Linked DNA regions of Canis lupus familiaris. The protein of the gene in region 1 interacts with the protein of each later gene in a pairwise test. Links are inferred from orthologs where the notes say so. Each region holds a gene or a part of one and is shown on either strand. Other genes may lie near its edges.

The links.
Region 2: the proteins of MRPL11 (region 1) and CAMK2D interact in binary tests that used the Homo sapiens proteins (3 or more experiments, as listed by UniProt). The two-hybrid records come from large-scale screens. The link is inferred for Canis lupus familiaris from reciprocal best matches to the Homo sapiens genes MRPL11 and CAMK2D.

The regions. Positions count from the first base shown.
Region 1 is NC_049239.1:51,390,139-51,397,676, forward strand, and holds MRPL11 (39S ribosomal protein L11, mitochondrial), read left to right. Parts: upstream 1-3,487; 5' UTR 3,488-3,585; coding exon 3,586-3,708; intron 3,709-4,094; coding exon 4,095-4,190; intron 4,191-4,746; coding exon 4,747-4,840; intron 4,841-4,926; coding exon 4,927-5,086; intron 5,087-6,495; coding exon 6,496-6,601; 3' UTR 6,602-6,793; downstream 6,794-7,538.
Region 2 is NC_049253.1:6,359,853-6,367,212, forward strand, and holds the start of CAMK2D (calcium/calmodulin-dependent protein kinase type II subunit delta), read left to right. Parts: upstream 1-2,938; 5' UTR 2,939-3,427; coding exon 3,428-3,492; intron 3,493-5,134; coding exon 5,135-5,229; intron 5,230-7,360. UniProt on the Homo sapiens protein: Calcium/calmodulin-dependent protein kinase involved in the regulation of Ca(2+) homeostatis and excitation-contraction coupling (ECC) in heart by targeting ion channels, transporters and accessory proteins involved in Ca(2+) influx into the myocyte, Ca(2+) release from the sarcoplasmic reticulum (SR), SR Ca(2+) uptake and Na(+) and K(+) channel transport.

The DNA.
Region 1 (7,538 bases):
AGAGAGAGAGGCAGAGACACAGGCAGAGGGAGAAACAGGCTCCATGCAGGAAGCCTGACGTGGGACTTGATCCTGGGTCTCCAGGATCACACTCTGGACTGAAGGTGGTGCTAAACCACTGAGCCACCCAGGCTACCCTCTTTCCCCTCTTTATTTACTTTTTTTTTTAAGATTTATTTATGATAGACATAGAGAGAGAGAGAGAAAGAGAGGCAGAGACACAGGAGGAGGGAGAAGCAGGCTCCATGTCGGGAGCCTGACGTGGGACTCGATCCCGGGACTCCAGGATCGTGCCCTGGGCCAAAGGCAGGCGCCAAACCACTGAGCAACCCAGGGATCCCTTTCCCCTCTTTAAATCCTGACTTCTCTTCTTTCCTCCTTGGGTGATCTCACTCTTGGCCCTGACCCCAAGGACTATCAGTCTCTATGCTACAGATGCCAGCATTTCTGTGTGCAGCTCAGGCTTCTCTCCCAGACCAGGCCATGGCTAGGTGCCCATGGGCACCCCTGTTGTGTGTTGGTCTCAGCTACTGACAACTAATATTGTGGCTAGACTGGCCTTGTGGGGTTGTTGTTGTTGTTGTTGTTGTTGTTGAGAGAGAGCAAGAGTGGGGAGGAGCAGAGAGAAAGGGAGAGAATCCTAAGCAGACCGCACACCAGTGTGGAGCCCAAAGCAGGGCTTGATTTCATGACCCTGAGATCATGACCTGAGCTGAAATCAAGAGTCAGACGCTTAACTGACTGAGCCACCCAGGCACCTCCACCTTGTGGTTTGTAATATAAATACAAGATGCCTTCAGCAATAACCATCAGGGAATTTGGGGAGAAAAAAAGATTTATTATTCACATATCCTGGAAATTGCATGGCACACCTGGGGCCACACAGCCAGTTCTCAGAGGGAGAGAGAGAAGGGGGAGCACCTTGGATTTCTGCTTTTATTGGGGTCCAGGGTGGGGACCTAAAATTTTACAGGCTCACTATTTATTGGTGAATTTAAGACAGAATAGTTGGTATTTAAAGAACAAAAAGAGTAAAATCAAGCAGTTCAAATGCTCAGTTACCAAGATCTCTAAAACAAAGGAGCCTCAGGTGGGAGAGGGGGCCGTGACCTGGCTCTTTTTATCTAGAGTTGTGTCTGGCAATGTGTTTAGATAGCCATCTCTGAAATGGATGTCTCCTTGAAATGGATGCTCCTCAGTCAAAGCTTAAGCCAGGCACTGATATTACAAAGAGGATAATCCAACTGTCAAGGCTTACACTATACTCTCTGACACAACTCACAATCTTTCACCCACCTACAGCTCCCATGTCCCAACAATGAAAGTGAAAGACTTTATCATTCATTTACCCAAAGCCTCCATGCCAGAATCCAGAACATCACCATGGATGCCTTTCTCCCTCTCCCTGGACAAATCACCCATCAAACACTAAGTTCTGTTGATGGGCCAGGCAGTCTAGGGAGTGGTTAGTAAAGGCACTAGAGCCAAAGGTTTGGGTTCAAATTCACATCCTAGTAGCATAAGTTTGGACAAGTGACTTGACCTCTCTGGGATTCAGTTTTCTAATCTATAAAGTGAGGAATAATAACAGGACCTATACTTTATAGGATTATAATGAAGTTTACATAAGTGACTTTTCATAAAGGTGGACACAGTATATATTGCACAAGCATTTTCTGACTAAAATATATTTCTATCTTCTAAGTATCTCTTGAATTGGTCCCAAGCCACCAACATCTCTCCACAGGTTTCCTGCCCTGGCCTAATGGGTCTTCCTGCATCCATCCTTGCCCTCCTCTCATCCCTCTATGTACCCAAGCCTAGGTCACCTTTCAAAATGCAACTACTTAACACTCTTCAATGATTTCTACTGCATCGCCACACATCTTAACAGGGCTGATAAGACTTGTATGATCTGACTCCCCACTCACTTGTTGCATCTCATTTTCAACACTAAAATGCTCTGACATTTCCAACACTAGACTAGGGAGTTGCTTCCTCAAAATGTGTAAGAGCTGGGACAATCAAGACTATCCTTTCATTGACATAAAGTGAAAATTGACAACAGAGCCCAGTTTGTCCCAGGCTGCTTTTGAGGCTCCCAGAACACCTGCCATGCCAATCTGTTTCCTGATTTCTTCATTTAGGAAGAATTTATGTATTTATTTGTAAAATAAAAGTGTAAATAAAGGCTGGGCAGTGTGGGGGCACTCAGAGATAAATCATATCTAGCTGGGCTCTCTTCAAGGTGCTTTACCTGAATTAACTCATTTCCTGGGAGGTTAGTACTATTGCTAGCCCCGTTTTGCTAGTGAGTAAACCAAAGCACAGGAAACTTAATTATTTTGCCCAATGTTTTACAACTAGTGAATCAGGAGCCAGCTTGATTCCAGACCCTGGCTAAGGCTAATGAGATAGAGCATTATAAAGAACTTGAGAAACTTCAGAGGCAGGAATAATCACATTTAATTAGTGGAAGTCCAAAAAAATCATAATAAAAATATGACAGTTTACAGTGTGGTTTAGCACAGATTATCTCCTTTTACTAGATGAGGCAATGTAGAGTCATGGTACATGGCACAAGGTCTAGAATCCGGTAATACCAATATTGGTTTCCCAGCCTTGTCAACACAGGGTAGTTGTTTTTGACCTCCTTTTTGTGCGTCAGCATTCTCGTTTGTCAAAAAGGTAAAATAAAAGAATTTACCTCATGCCATTGTGAGGACTAAATGAGATAATAATGCCCTTAAAGCACTCGGCACCATGCCTGGATATAGCAAGTGCTCAAAAAAAAAAAAAAAAAAAAAGGCATAATAAGATGCTGGCTTATTTTTATAAGTCTCACAACAGCTCTGTGAAGGTTTTGTCTTCGTTGTACAGTTAATAGCACATGCTTACTAGATGCCGGGCATTGTCCTAACACACTGCTAACTCAATCTTCACAACAGTCCCTAGAGCTATGTCTACATATTATAATCTTTGTACAGGGGAGGAAAGTGAACATAAGTAATTTGAACAAGTTCACAGCCAGCAAGAGGAACAACCGGGTACTTACTTCCCGGGTCTATACTCTTAATCATAGTGCCTTTCAACAACAGGTGACGAAACAGGCTGGGAAAGTTAGAGATGCTCACGCCCGAGAAGGAGCTCTAAATTCCCTTCAAACCCCAGGATTATAATCACATCCAGCAGATGGCCCCCCAGAGCATAGCAACGTGCGAGATTTGCGTAAGCGGTCAAAACTACCATGCCCACAATGCTGTGCGAACATTAAGGGCCTCCTCCTCCTCCAGTTTAGCTGTCCGAGGTACTGCCTATGTGCTCTGCAGGAGGAATGCATGTATCTGAACCATTCAGGCCTTCCCTTATCTTCAGATCGTGAGGTAAAAGTTTTTTTTATCCTTCATATTACTCTCTTTGGCGTACTAGTTGGAGAATAGAAAGGCCGAAACAACGCTGCTTTTTGTTGGCGTCATATGACCAAACCTAACGTGAGGACCCTTGACCTCTGACTCAGGATGGCGGCGCCCGTGGCCGTCGCTTTTGCTGTAATCCTGAGCTGAACTGAGGCCGCAACCCCGCGTCATGTCGAAGCTGAACCGAGCCGCTCGGGCCCTCAGGAAGCCCGAGGCCGGCGGCGTGATCCGGACCATCGTGCGGGCAGGCCAGGCCATGACCGGGCCTCCTCTAGGTCCCATCCTGGGTCAGGTGGTCCCGCGGCTGGAACCCGGAGCGGGAGGCGTGGTGGGGGTGGGACCTAGTACTGGGACCCGGAGCGGGTGGAGGGTGCGGGCTCGGCTTGGTAAGGTAAGGTCAAAGCGCGGCTTTGCTGCCCACACGCTTTTGGTCTTTGCGTTCATTCCGTGGCCTGTTCGAGGCTAAGCTTCCTCCGTCCTTGGTCAGCGGCCCCTTGGGAGGATAGAGGGACGATGCATACAGATCCTCTGGCGCGTAAAGTGTTAGTTGAATCTGGGTTAATAAGAGGAGGATGGGACCTTTAAGAGATGAAGACGAAGGAGGAAAGGGATAGAATCTCCCGTATGGTAGGAAGCCGCCCCCTTGTCCCCACACTAATGTCCGTGCTTCCCACCCAGAGAGGTGTTTCCATCAACCAGTTCTGCAAGGAGTTCAACGAGAAGACAAAGGACATCAAAGAAGGCATTCCTTTGCCCACCAAGATTTTTGTGAAGGTGCACAGTCGGGACTTTGATCCTGTTTGGCTTTTAAGTTTTTATTTTTATTCCAGTTAGCCGGTATACAGTGTTATATTAACTTTGAGTGTATGATATAGTGATTCACCGGTTCCATGCAACACGCGGTGCTCATTGCACTCCTTAATCCCCGTCACCTAATGATCCTATTTGTTTTTCTTCCCCTTGGTTACTGGGGTTGCTACTCTGCTTTTAATTTTGGGTGAGGCTCTTCCTATCACCGAGTCCCACTTTCCCCATTTACACAGTGGAGACTAGACCATATCTTTTCTGAGCCTTTCCTGCCATATTGCATTTCCTCCCTTTGCCTGTCCATCTCACTCGGGCTTCTACAGCAGAGCTGAGCCTGGACTAGAGGTGACAAAGCTGTTAGCTGCAGATTTATTTTCCCCGTGTTTTCATGATCTGTTAAATGGACGCCAGTGGAAGATGAGTCAAGGGAAGGGGGAACAGAAGTTAAAAGTTCTCTGGGCTGGGGCAGCAGGGCCTAGAGGAGATAAGAGAGATATTCTCCTGTATTTTCTTCCCCATGAAGCCTGATAGGACATTTGAAATCAAGATCGGACAACCCACTGTTTCCTACTTCCTGAAAGCAGCTGCTGGGATTGAGAAGGGGGCCCGGCAAACAGGTAAGGGTCAGGGTGGGTACCCGGGATTTTGGGGGCTCTGGAAGGAAGCCGAGATACCTCAAGGTCTACTTGTTTCTTCCTCCCAGGGAAGGAGGTGGCTGGCCTGGTGACCTTGAAGCATGTGTATGAGATCGCCCAAGTTAAAGCTCAGGATGAGGCCTTCGCCCTGCAGGATGTGCCCCTGTCCTCTGTGGTTCGCTCCATCATTGGCTCTGCCCGTTCCCTGGGCATTCGTGTGGTGAAGGAGTGAGTGTCTTGGGAAGGTGCAATGTGAGGGGAGGGCTTGGAAAGTTCTTGACTCTGGAGCAAAGCCAGGAGGGCCCATTACAGTGGGAGGACCAGCTTCTGAGTCAAGGACCTTAGATTCTTGGGAGTGGGCAGCCTTATTCATCCATTTGGAATATGAATATTAAGTACCTGTTATGTGTCAGACATTTTTCTGGACGTTAGATACAGCGAGGAAGAAATCACTGGGTGGCTCAGTGGTTTAGCATCTGCCTTTGGCCCAGGGCGTGATCCTGGAGTCCCGGTATCAAGTCCCACATCAGGCTCCCTGCATGGAACCTGCTTCTCCCTCTGCCTGTGTCTCTGCCTCTCTCTCTCTCTCTCTCTCTCTCTCTTTGTCTTTCATGAATAAATAAATAAAATCTTAAAAAAAAAAAGATACAGCGAGGAACAATGAGATAGCCATGCTTGGCCCCACTCCTAGGGAGTTCACAGTTGAGAGCTGGAGGCAGATGTGTAAGTGGAGCATTAGGCTGCTAGATGGTCATTGTTGACAAAAGGAACTGCAGGTTCTTGAGGAAAGAGTAGAGCTCCTAATTTTGCCTGGTGTGTCAATGAGGACTTCACAGAGGAGGTGACATCTGCACAGACTTGGAAAAGGAGGTCAAGGACTGGGACAAGCATTCCAAGAAGTGGGAAGATCCCTGTGAAGGACAGGAGGTGAAAAAGTGAAGCAAATAAATGCAGTGTGCTCTGGCGTATGGTGCTAGAAGCAGAGTGGGGAATAGGAAGAGAGGTGAGACAAATGGACCAGTTGGGAAGGCTGAAGGCTGTTTCCATCTATCTGAAGTTCATATTTGATCCTGAGGCCAACAGGAAGCCCCCTCCTAGGGTTTGGGATGACCTCAGGAATTATTTCTCTGAAGTGAGATGTTGGATGGGAGAGCATACATCATCTGAGGGCTCAGACAACAGCAAGGGCGGGGCTTGGCCCTTTATGGGCCTCTTGCTGCTGATGTTACATCTCATGCTGAGGCTAACATTTGTTTCCTAAGAGAAGTGGGATTAAACGTGGTACAAGGATAGACCTGACTTTCTCAAATCTTCACTTTGACTAGAAGTACAGAAGTGAGTCGATCTGACCCTTGCTTGGGGGGAGGCACATGTGTATAGCCTGACGACTTCTTTGTACAAAGTGTTTGGGGGCACAGAGGAAGGGGCAGTTAATCTGGATTGGGGTATAGCCGGGGCCTCAAAAGGACTGGTGGAGCTTTAAGGAGGGAATCATAGGTAGAGACAGAGGTGGGGTAGCAAAGGTATGGAGGCTGGGGAGTCCAAGGAGGGAGAAAGGGCTCTGAGACAGTGGTGTGGGCACTTGTGAGCTTCCCAGCAGTGACTGGCCACTCACTATCTCCTTTTCTCACCTGCAGCCTCAGTTCAGAAGAGCTAGCAGCTTTCCAGAAAGAGCGAGCCGCATTCCTGGCTGCCCAGAAAGAGGCAGATTTGGCAGCCCAGGCAGAAGCTGCCAAGAAGTGACCCTGTCCCCCACACTCCAGGGTTTTGAAGGGAGTAGCTGGAATGGAGGCCAGTTGGAAAAGCTGTACCAAAAGGGTGGGAGGGAGGTGACACCAAGCTGATTGTTATATCCCTGACTTTAAATTATATATTTTCATATGTATGACAGTATCAAGAGATCAAACTTAAATAAACATTTCTTTTGTCATCCGCTCTTGACTTCTGTCTTGGGACCTGAAGGGAAAAGGACCAGTGCTGATGGCAGCCAATGTGAACAGACATCAGCTGCCCTAAGGAAGTTGGTCTTCATGCTGTTTCTCATACTGTATAATCCAATGCTTAGCCAAGCAGAGCACCTTGCCCAAGTTTTGAATTGGTGGCAGAGGTAGGAGTTGGAGCTGTTTAAACTTGTTGGAGCCTTCTGATGCGAAACCCTGTGTTGTCCTCCTCCTCAGAGGTAAGAGAACAGGTGGAAGCCATGGATGCTCAGGCTTAGATGTACAGAAGCAGCAGAGGTGGGACGCCTGGGTGGCTCAGTGGTTGAGTGTCTGCCTTTGGCTCAGGGTGTGATCCTGCAGACTCAGGATCGAGTCCCACATCAGGCTTCCTTTAGGGAGCCTGCTTCTCCCTCTGCCTGTGTCTCTGCTTCTCTCTCTGTGTCTCTCATGAATGAATAAATAAAATCTTAAATAAAAAAAAAAAAAAAGGCATCAGAGGTTGCTTGTGTCTCTATCAGAAATATCTCTTACCGGGATCCCTGAGTGGCGCAGCGGTTTAGCGCCTGCCTTTGGCCCAGGGCGCGATCCTGGAGACCCAGGATCGAATCCCACGTCGGGCTCCCGGTGCATGGAGCCTGCTTCTCCCTCTGCCTGTGTCTCTGCCTCTCTCTCTCTCTCTGTGACTATCATAAATAAAATAATAATAATAAAAATAAAAAAATAAAAAAAAAAGAAATATC
Region 2 (7,360 bases), on another chromosome or scaffold:
AAGTAAACAATTAACAGGGAAAACATTTATAGTATACTAGATGGTAATAGATATTAAGGGGAACAATAAAGCAGGCAGTGCAAATAGAAATCATGTCTGAAAAATGGGCAGTAATTGATAGAGTGGCCAGGTAAAGCTGCATTGATGAGGTGATATTTGAGAAAATACTAGAAGGAGGTAAAAAAATGCAATAGGAGAAATGAATATTCCAGGAAAGAGAGAATAGTACATGTGAAGTCCCTAATCAGGAGCATGCCAAGTCATGCTCCAGAACAGCAGAGGCCAATGCGGCTGGAGTAGAATGAGCCAGGGTACAAACTGAGGGTAAGAAGACGAATGGAGTAGGGATGGAGGGCAGACCCGTGAAGGCCTTGTTAGCCATTTTTGGAATTTTGCTTTTTAATCTAATTGAGTTACTAAGACTTCAGAAGTTTTTGAGCAAAGGCATGATTTGTTCTGACTGAGGTTTTAAGGGGACCATTATGCCTGCCATGGCTAGACTAGAATGAAAAGGGGTAAGGGCAGACACAGGAGACCAGGAAGAAGGCAAGAAGATTATAATCCAAATGGGATTTCTGTGTAACTTTAGAAGGATTACTGTCTTGTAAACATTAAAAAAAAAAAAAAAAATCACTGTTTTAAGAAAGCCCAAACTTCAGAAATAACTGTCAATCTTTGAATAAGAGAAATATTTTAATCAGTCTAAGATATTAATCAGGAAACAGCACAAATATTGAGTAAGCAGTGTTTAAAATACACATTTATTGTCTAATAATACATCAATATTGAAACTCTTGTTTCATTGTATCATACAATCATCATAACCACTCACAATTATTGCTAGTTTAAATAACTGAGATAAATACTGTAATTATGTAGACCTAATTACTTGAATATTCAAAAATTTTTTTCCTCCCCGGAGTTGTAAAATTTTATATTATCTTTATTTATTGTTTTAATTATACTCACTCTGCTTCATTTTCAGATTCAGAGAATGTTACATTATTGCATTATAACTTGGAACCATGTTGCTAGATATTTAAGACACAATGTTAAAAATCTTTAGCAGACGAAATCTTTTTTTTCCAATTTTATGGCTCAATTATTAATATTTAGACCTGTTTTTCTTTATACAGCCTTTGGTATCATCTTGTATCATTACATTTTACACAATGTTCTATTTGCTTTTTATGGCTAGGAATAAAAATAGGCACAAGGTTCCATTTTGTTACAGTGGTTGGAATTGGTAAATACTTTGAAAACCTCAGTAAAAGCTCTGCTTCTTGGCAGGAGATCATTCCCCAGATGAGGAAATGTGTGACTACGGACAAGCAGCCCTTGGGAGATGGCAACAATTCCTCTACATTAGACTGTATATCCAAGTTATCCTTTATCTTCCAGCTGCGGAAATCTGAGTCCATGATGTGATGCTAATCATGAACAAATCAGCCAGAACTACGAGGTTTTTAGGGTCCCCTGCTGTAAAACAAAGGACAGCAATTTGGAAAGACCGTTCAAAACCGTTTTGTTCTGCCTTCAAAATTGCAGATGCATAGTTTATTAAAGACAGAAGGGAGGGCCAGGGGTTGTTTCAGCGATCAGCGATTTATTTTAAATCTACTTTTTTCCTCCTATTTACTGTCTGCTAATGCTAAGGACACACTCTTGAACCGTTAAGTCGCTTACGAAGCGTACTTCCGGGTCACTGCCTAGCCAGGTCTTCGGTCATGCGAGCAGAACACGCCCGGCCGCTAGACTTCTCTTTCTTCCCTTTGCAAAACGAAACGGGCCGGAACGTGTTCACGTGATGCGAGTGACGTCAGCCCCAGCCAGGTCGCGTGACCGACACCCAACCTGCCCAGCAGCCGCCCCCGCCCCCGCCCCCGGCCCCCGCCCCCGCCGCCCGGGCCGGAGATCTCGCGAGAAGCCGCCTTACTATCAGAACTTCCTGAGCTTACGCGGGAGTTACTCTGAAGGGAGGGTGTGGCTCGCTCCTCGCTCGCTCGGGGAGTGTTTGCTTTCATTCTAGCCTTCGGCAAAGGCTGAAGCGAAGGCCTGGGGCGGGGGTTGTCTGTCAAGAGTTTGAGCGACCCGGCCTGGAAAACGGCGCGGGGGCACGTGGGCAGTGAGGTGCAGTCGCCTCACACGTGAAACGTGGCGCACGGCGGGCAGCGCCCCTCGCTAAGCCGGCTGCGGGCGGCGGCGCGGCTTCTGCAGGCCGGGCCCGGAGTCCCCGGGGGCTGTGGGAGGCCGGGACCCCGGGCGGGACGCGGCCGACTGCCCACCTCCGGCCCCCGCGGTGTCGACCCCGAGCGGAGCCGAGCGGACGCGGCCGCGGCCGCGCACGTCGCCCTCCCCCCGGGGGCACCCCCCGGCCGGCCCGCGGCTCGCCCCGCGTCGTTCCGCCGCATCCAGCCCCAGTGTCGGCAGCCGCCTGACCGCGAGGTCACCTGGGCGGCTCGCCGTGTCGCCTCACTCGCCTAAACCCTCGCCGGGCTGCTCGTTCGTACATCCTCCGCCCCCCCCGCCCCCCCCGGCCCCCCGACGGGTGTGCGCGAGCGTGAGACCCGGGGCGGAGAGCGAGGTCCGCGAAGGCGCCGGGCTGGGAGTCGCTAGAGGGAGGTGTGGGACCGGCGAGGAGGGGGCTCCGCGGAGGGAGCGCGGGGGAGGGGAGGGGAGGCGAGGGGAGGAGGCGGAGGCCCAGGCCCGCGGAGGGCCGCCCGGGCTTCGCCCCATCCGAGCGCTCTTCCTCTCGCCGCGCAGCCGCGCAGCCTCGCAGCGGAGCGGCGCGGGCCCCAGGGGCAGCGCCAGGCAGCCGAGGCGCCCGCGGGAGGCAGGCGGGCCCCGGGCGCGCACGCTCGGCCGAGCCCCGGCGCGCCCCGCGCCCCCCGCGCCCCCCGCGCCCCGCGCCCCGCGCCCCGCGCCCCCCGCGCCCGCTGACAGCTGCAGCTGGGCTCGCGCTGTCCGCTCCCGGCTCCTCGGCCTCCGCCCCCTCGGGCTCCCTCCCCTCCAGCCCGGTGCGGCTAGTTTCGCAACTGCTCGCCTCTCGCCCCGTGCCCGGCTGTTTTCCATTTCCCGGCCCCTTCTTCCCGAGTACTTCGCCCCCGGCATTTGGGGGAGAGGGGCTGGGAAGGGGCGGGTGGAGCGTCCCGCGGAGAAGGAAGCACGGGCCGGAGGAGGAGGAGGAGGAGGAGGAGGAGGAGAATCGGCGGGCCGTGGGGAGGAGACCCCACGCCACCCTTTCTGGTCATCTCCCCTCGCGCCCCGCCCCTGCGCACACTCCCTCCCGGGCGAGCTACTTTCGGACGAGGAAAGTGAGGGCGGCCCTGGGTGGCAGCGCCGCGGGGCCAGTCCCGGGGAAGCCGCGCGTCTGTTGGAGTCGCGTCCGCCGGCTCTCCCAGCCAGGGGCATAGCCCGCACCGAGAGGATGGCTTCGACCGCAACCTGCACCAGGTTCACGGACGAGTATCAGCTTTTCGAGGAGCTCGGAAAGTAAGCGCCTTTGCCCGCGTCCGCACGTCCCCTTCCCAGCAGAGGGGCGGGTAGCGTTCCCCGACCCACCGGCCTCCCGCGCGGGGCGAGGGAGCTGGGGAGACCCGAGGAGTGGGAGGAGGGCCAGTGGCGTGGCCGGCTCTGAGCAAGGTGCTGCTCTAGCAAGAGGAGGGGGACCGAGACTGGAAAAGACCCTCCACCCCGCTTGTGTGGCCCATTCCGATAATCCTCAACCCACCTTCTCCCGCCCACCCCCCCCCACCCCAACCCTCTTGCACTAGAGACTTAGTGGATTTACGATCCCTGCAGTTGTAGCTGTCATCCTGAGAAGTGTGCGAGCGTGCGTGTGTGTGTGTGTGTGTGTGGAGAGAAAACAAGAACCCGTGTAAAATGCAACATAGATCGTGTTTTCTGTAAATAGAGATGCCTCCTGGTTAGCCGGCGTGTCGCCCGTACGACCCACGTACGAACGAGAACTCCCTGCCACAGACGGTGCCATATTTATTGATGCCGAAAGTTCAACTTGGCGTGGAGTCTATTTCACGTCCAGTAGTTGTTCTGTCCAGGAAGAGGGTCACCAAAGGAACTCGACCCCCTGCCCCATATCCACTACCCTTTGCACCTAGATTATTCGCTCATCATCATCCTTCCTAGGATTTACGTGTACATCTTCGCATTCTCTGGGAGGATTTATTTATACAGGCGACGGAAAAGACCTGGAGACCGAGAGAAAGCTTGCCAAGGGTAGCCTAGCGTCCTATAAAAACGACCTCCCACGCCCCGACTGGCGGAACTCCTCGGAGAATTTAAGGAAGGGGACCAGAGACCTCCTGAGGACCTGTGTGCTTAGGGACCCAGGGGCCAAACCGTGAATGTTGGTTTATGTAGCATCCCACCCAAACCCTATTCCTCTATCGCTAGTGCCGACTATTACTTACGAAAGGGGTGCGTTTATGTGTATGTATGTATGTATGTTTTATACAATTGAATTCAAGAAACTGTAATTATCTTTTAAACGTAATGACAAGTATATCCTTACATATTTATATGTTGTCTGCTGTTAAAACATGGAGACTATGTCGGAAGAGCAGCTTAATTCAAATCTCACCCTTCCCCCAGCTCAAAAGAGGGCACAGAGAAATCACCGTATCAGGACTTATTAAACCACACAAATGTTCCCAAGATTTCTATTTTAGTGAAAACAATCGCCATATTTACTTGGAGCCACATTAATTTTTTTTTTCTAATAAATAGGCAGCAGATTTTTGCTGCTCCTCCTCAGCCATGCTCTTTGCAGGTTTTTTTTTTTTTTTTTTTCCCTTCTCAGAGCATTTGGTACTATGTGAGTGTGAATTGTAAAATGTTTTCAAATTTCCTGGGCAAACAAGAGCCGTCATAATTGGCAGTTTCTTTCATTATGTTGATTAATAATGTGTGCTCCCAGTTAAATAAAATTTACTTTTATTCTTCAACATTAAAGAAGGCTTGGGTTCCCAGGAAGAATCGTTCATTTTCTGATATTACTGTAGCGCATTGATATTTTACAAATCACTAAATGCAGTAAAAATGCTCAGATTGCTGTGATTTTTAATAGGATATCAGAGCTGATTATATTGATGACATGCTAATTATTGGTTTTCAGGGGGGCTTTCTCAGTGGTGAGAAGATGTATGAAAATCCCTACTGGACAAGAATATGCTGCCAAAATTATCAACACCAAAAAGCTTTCTGCTAGGGGTGGGTATTTTCAACCACATAATACAGTATATGTTAATTATGTATTTGTCATGTTGATTGTTCTGTTGTCTGTAAATATATAGTTATAATTGAACTGTAGACTTAGGTGTCCTCTTACATTTTTGCAGTTACTTCCTTCTTGAATGCCTCTTGGTATGTATAGTTTAAAAGTTAAGTGAAGACATAGAATTTTAACAACAAATTATTAAATCATTCCAACTGTCCTGTGAGCAGCAGCATATGTAACTATTTTACAGCAAATAAGTTGTCCCTTAGTGCGTCTTGCTTTTAGCTCTGCTGTGAAACAACTTTCAGAAATACCCTGGAATGGAAAAATGTCTCACAACTGTCATTATTCTCTTTTGCTTTTAAGAGGAAAAATAGGTCATAGCTCAGTTGAATCATATTTCAATTGTAGTTACACTTGAACTTAATTTATCAAGGTATATTTAACAGTAATAGCTTTGGGAGGAAAAAATTTATCATTGCTATATTCTAGGAAGTTCAGCTTGATTTTGAGGTTTCCGTGTGTGCAGTCCAGACCTATACTGGGTCTTCCGCATTAAGGCTTCTCGCCGACTCCTGTAATGTATTTTACACATGCTTTATAGCCACGGAGATAATTCCTATCATAAAATAGCTGTTGACATACGCAAAAAAAAAAAAAAAAAAAAAACCAAAAAAAAGAAAAAAAAACAAACCTTGAAGGGGCCTCACTGCATTCTTTTGTTGAACGCATGCAAAAGTACTTACACTGAAATGTTAGGCATTCTAATTATTGTGAGCACGTGTCTAATGTATTTCCATGGGAATTTATGGTTTAATGGAATTTAAATGGAATTAAAATGAACAAAATGCCACAATATAAGCCATTTTAGTGACCTGGTTTATTTTAAGTAATGAGAGAGGAAATTCTATTAGGGTTAGTTTGCCTCATTTCAATTTGTCTTCTAAAAAGTGCTGCTTCCTAGGATCCTTGTGTTTGGTCTCTGCCATGATTTTTTAAAAACTTTTCCTCTCTCTGTTACAGATTCTACTTTTAACATATGCTTGAGGTTTAGATTGGCATTTCAGTTCATTTATTTGAATCAGAGAGATTTTGTTGTGATTTCCTTCATCTGATTTTAACGGTCTTCCTAGGGACATCTATGTGCTAAAGTAACCAGTACCATAGCTTCACAGCTTGAGAACTAATGAGAAGCACGTCATCCTTGATTACACTCCCCTATCCCTCTTCTCTCCACAGGAAGGTTTTTAACAGTCAAAATGAGTTGCTAAACTGTAAATGACATTTTAGTTTTTAAAAAAGAAAAAAAAAGTGTATAATTCTGTCAGGGCTTATATGTTTTCTTTCCCTACACTAGGTACTTTTGGCGAGAGTAGGTAGTAGTTCTTTTGGAGGCGTTATACCACCTGTCCCAAATCTCTTAGTGGCTTTAAATTTTCTTTCAAAACAAATCAGTCTCATGCTTCACTTCTACTGATTTTCTTAATTAGTGTTATCCCTCTTCATCTACCCTGCTTCATACTCCCTATATCAGAATGGCAAATACAGTTTCTGCTCACATTTTATTTTTCTTCTGACTCCAGTCTGTGGAGGATAAGTCTTCTCTAACTTGATGGGATTCCTTCTTCCTGCCAGTGTTTCTCACCTGCTCATACTCCACTTTAAAGAACAATCTACATCCCAAACCACTTTGCCCCATCTGGATTTAATGATTCCAATTACGTTTAGGAAAAGTAGGGTGAAGTACTAAAAGACCTCTCCCTCTCCAGTTTTCTTGTGACTTTGGGCAAATTTCTTAACCTGCCTACGTTAAACCCTTCTGAGGAGTGAGGTGGTACAGAAGCAGGTGTTGGAATAAATGCCCTGGGTTTAAATTCTGATTTCCCTATTAATTGTAATCTTGGGGCAAGATTACGTGTTTTTGATGAGCCTTTGTTTACTCATCCATAAAATGGACTAATAATGTAACCCTTTTATAGGGTTTGTGAGGAGTAAATTAATATAGTACAGAACGCCACCTGCTACATAATACGTATTCAATGAATATTAGCTGTTATTATTATCTCTTGGGTCGTAATGATCAGATGGGATTACTAACATGAAAGAATGTGAAAATTATGAATC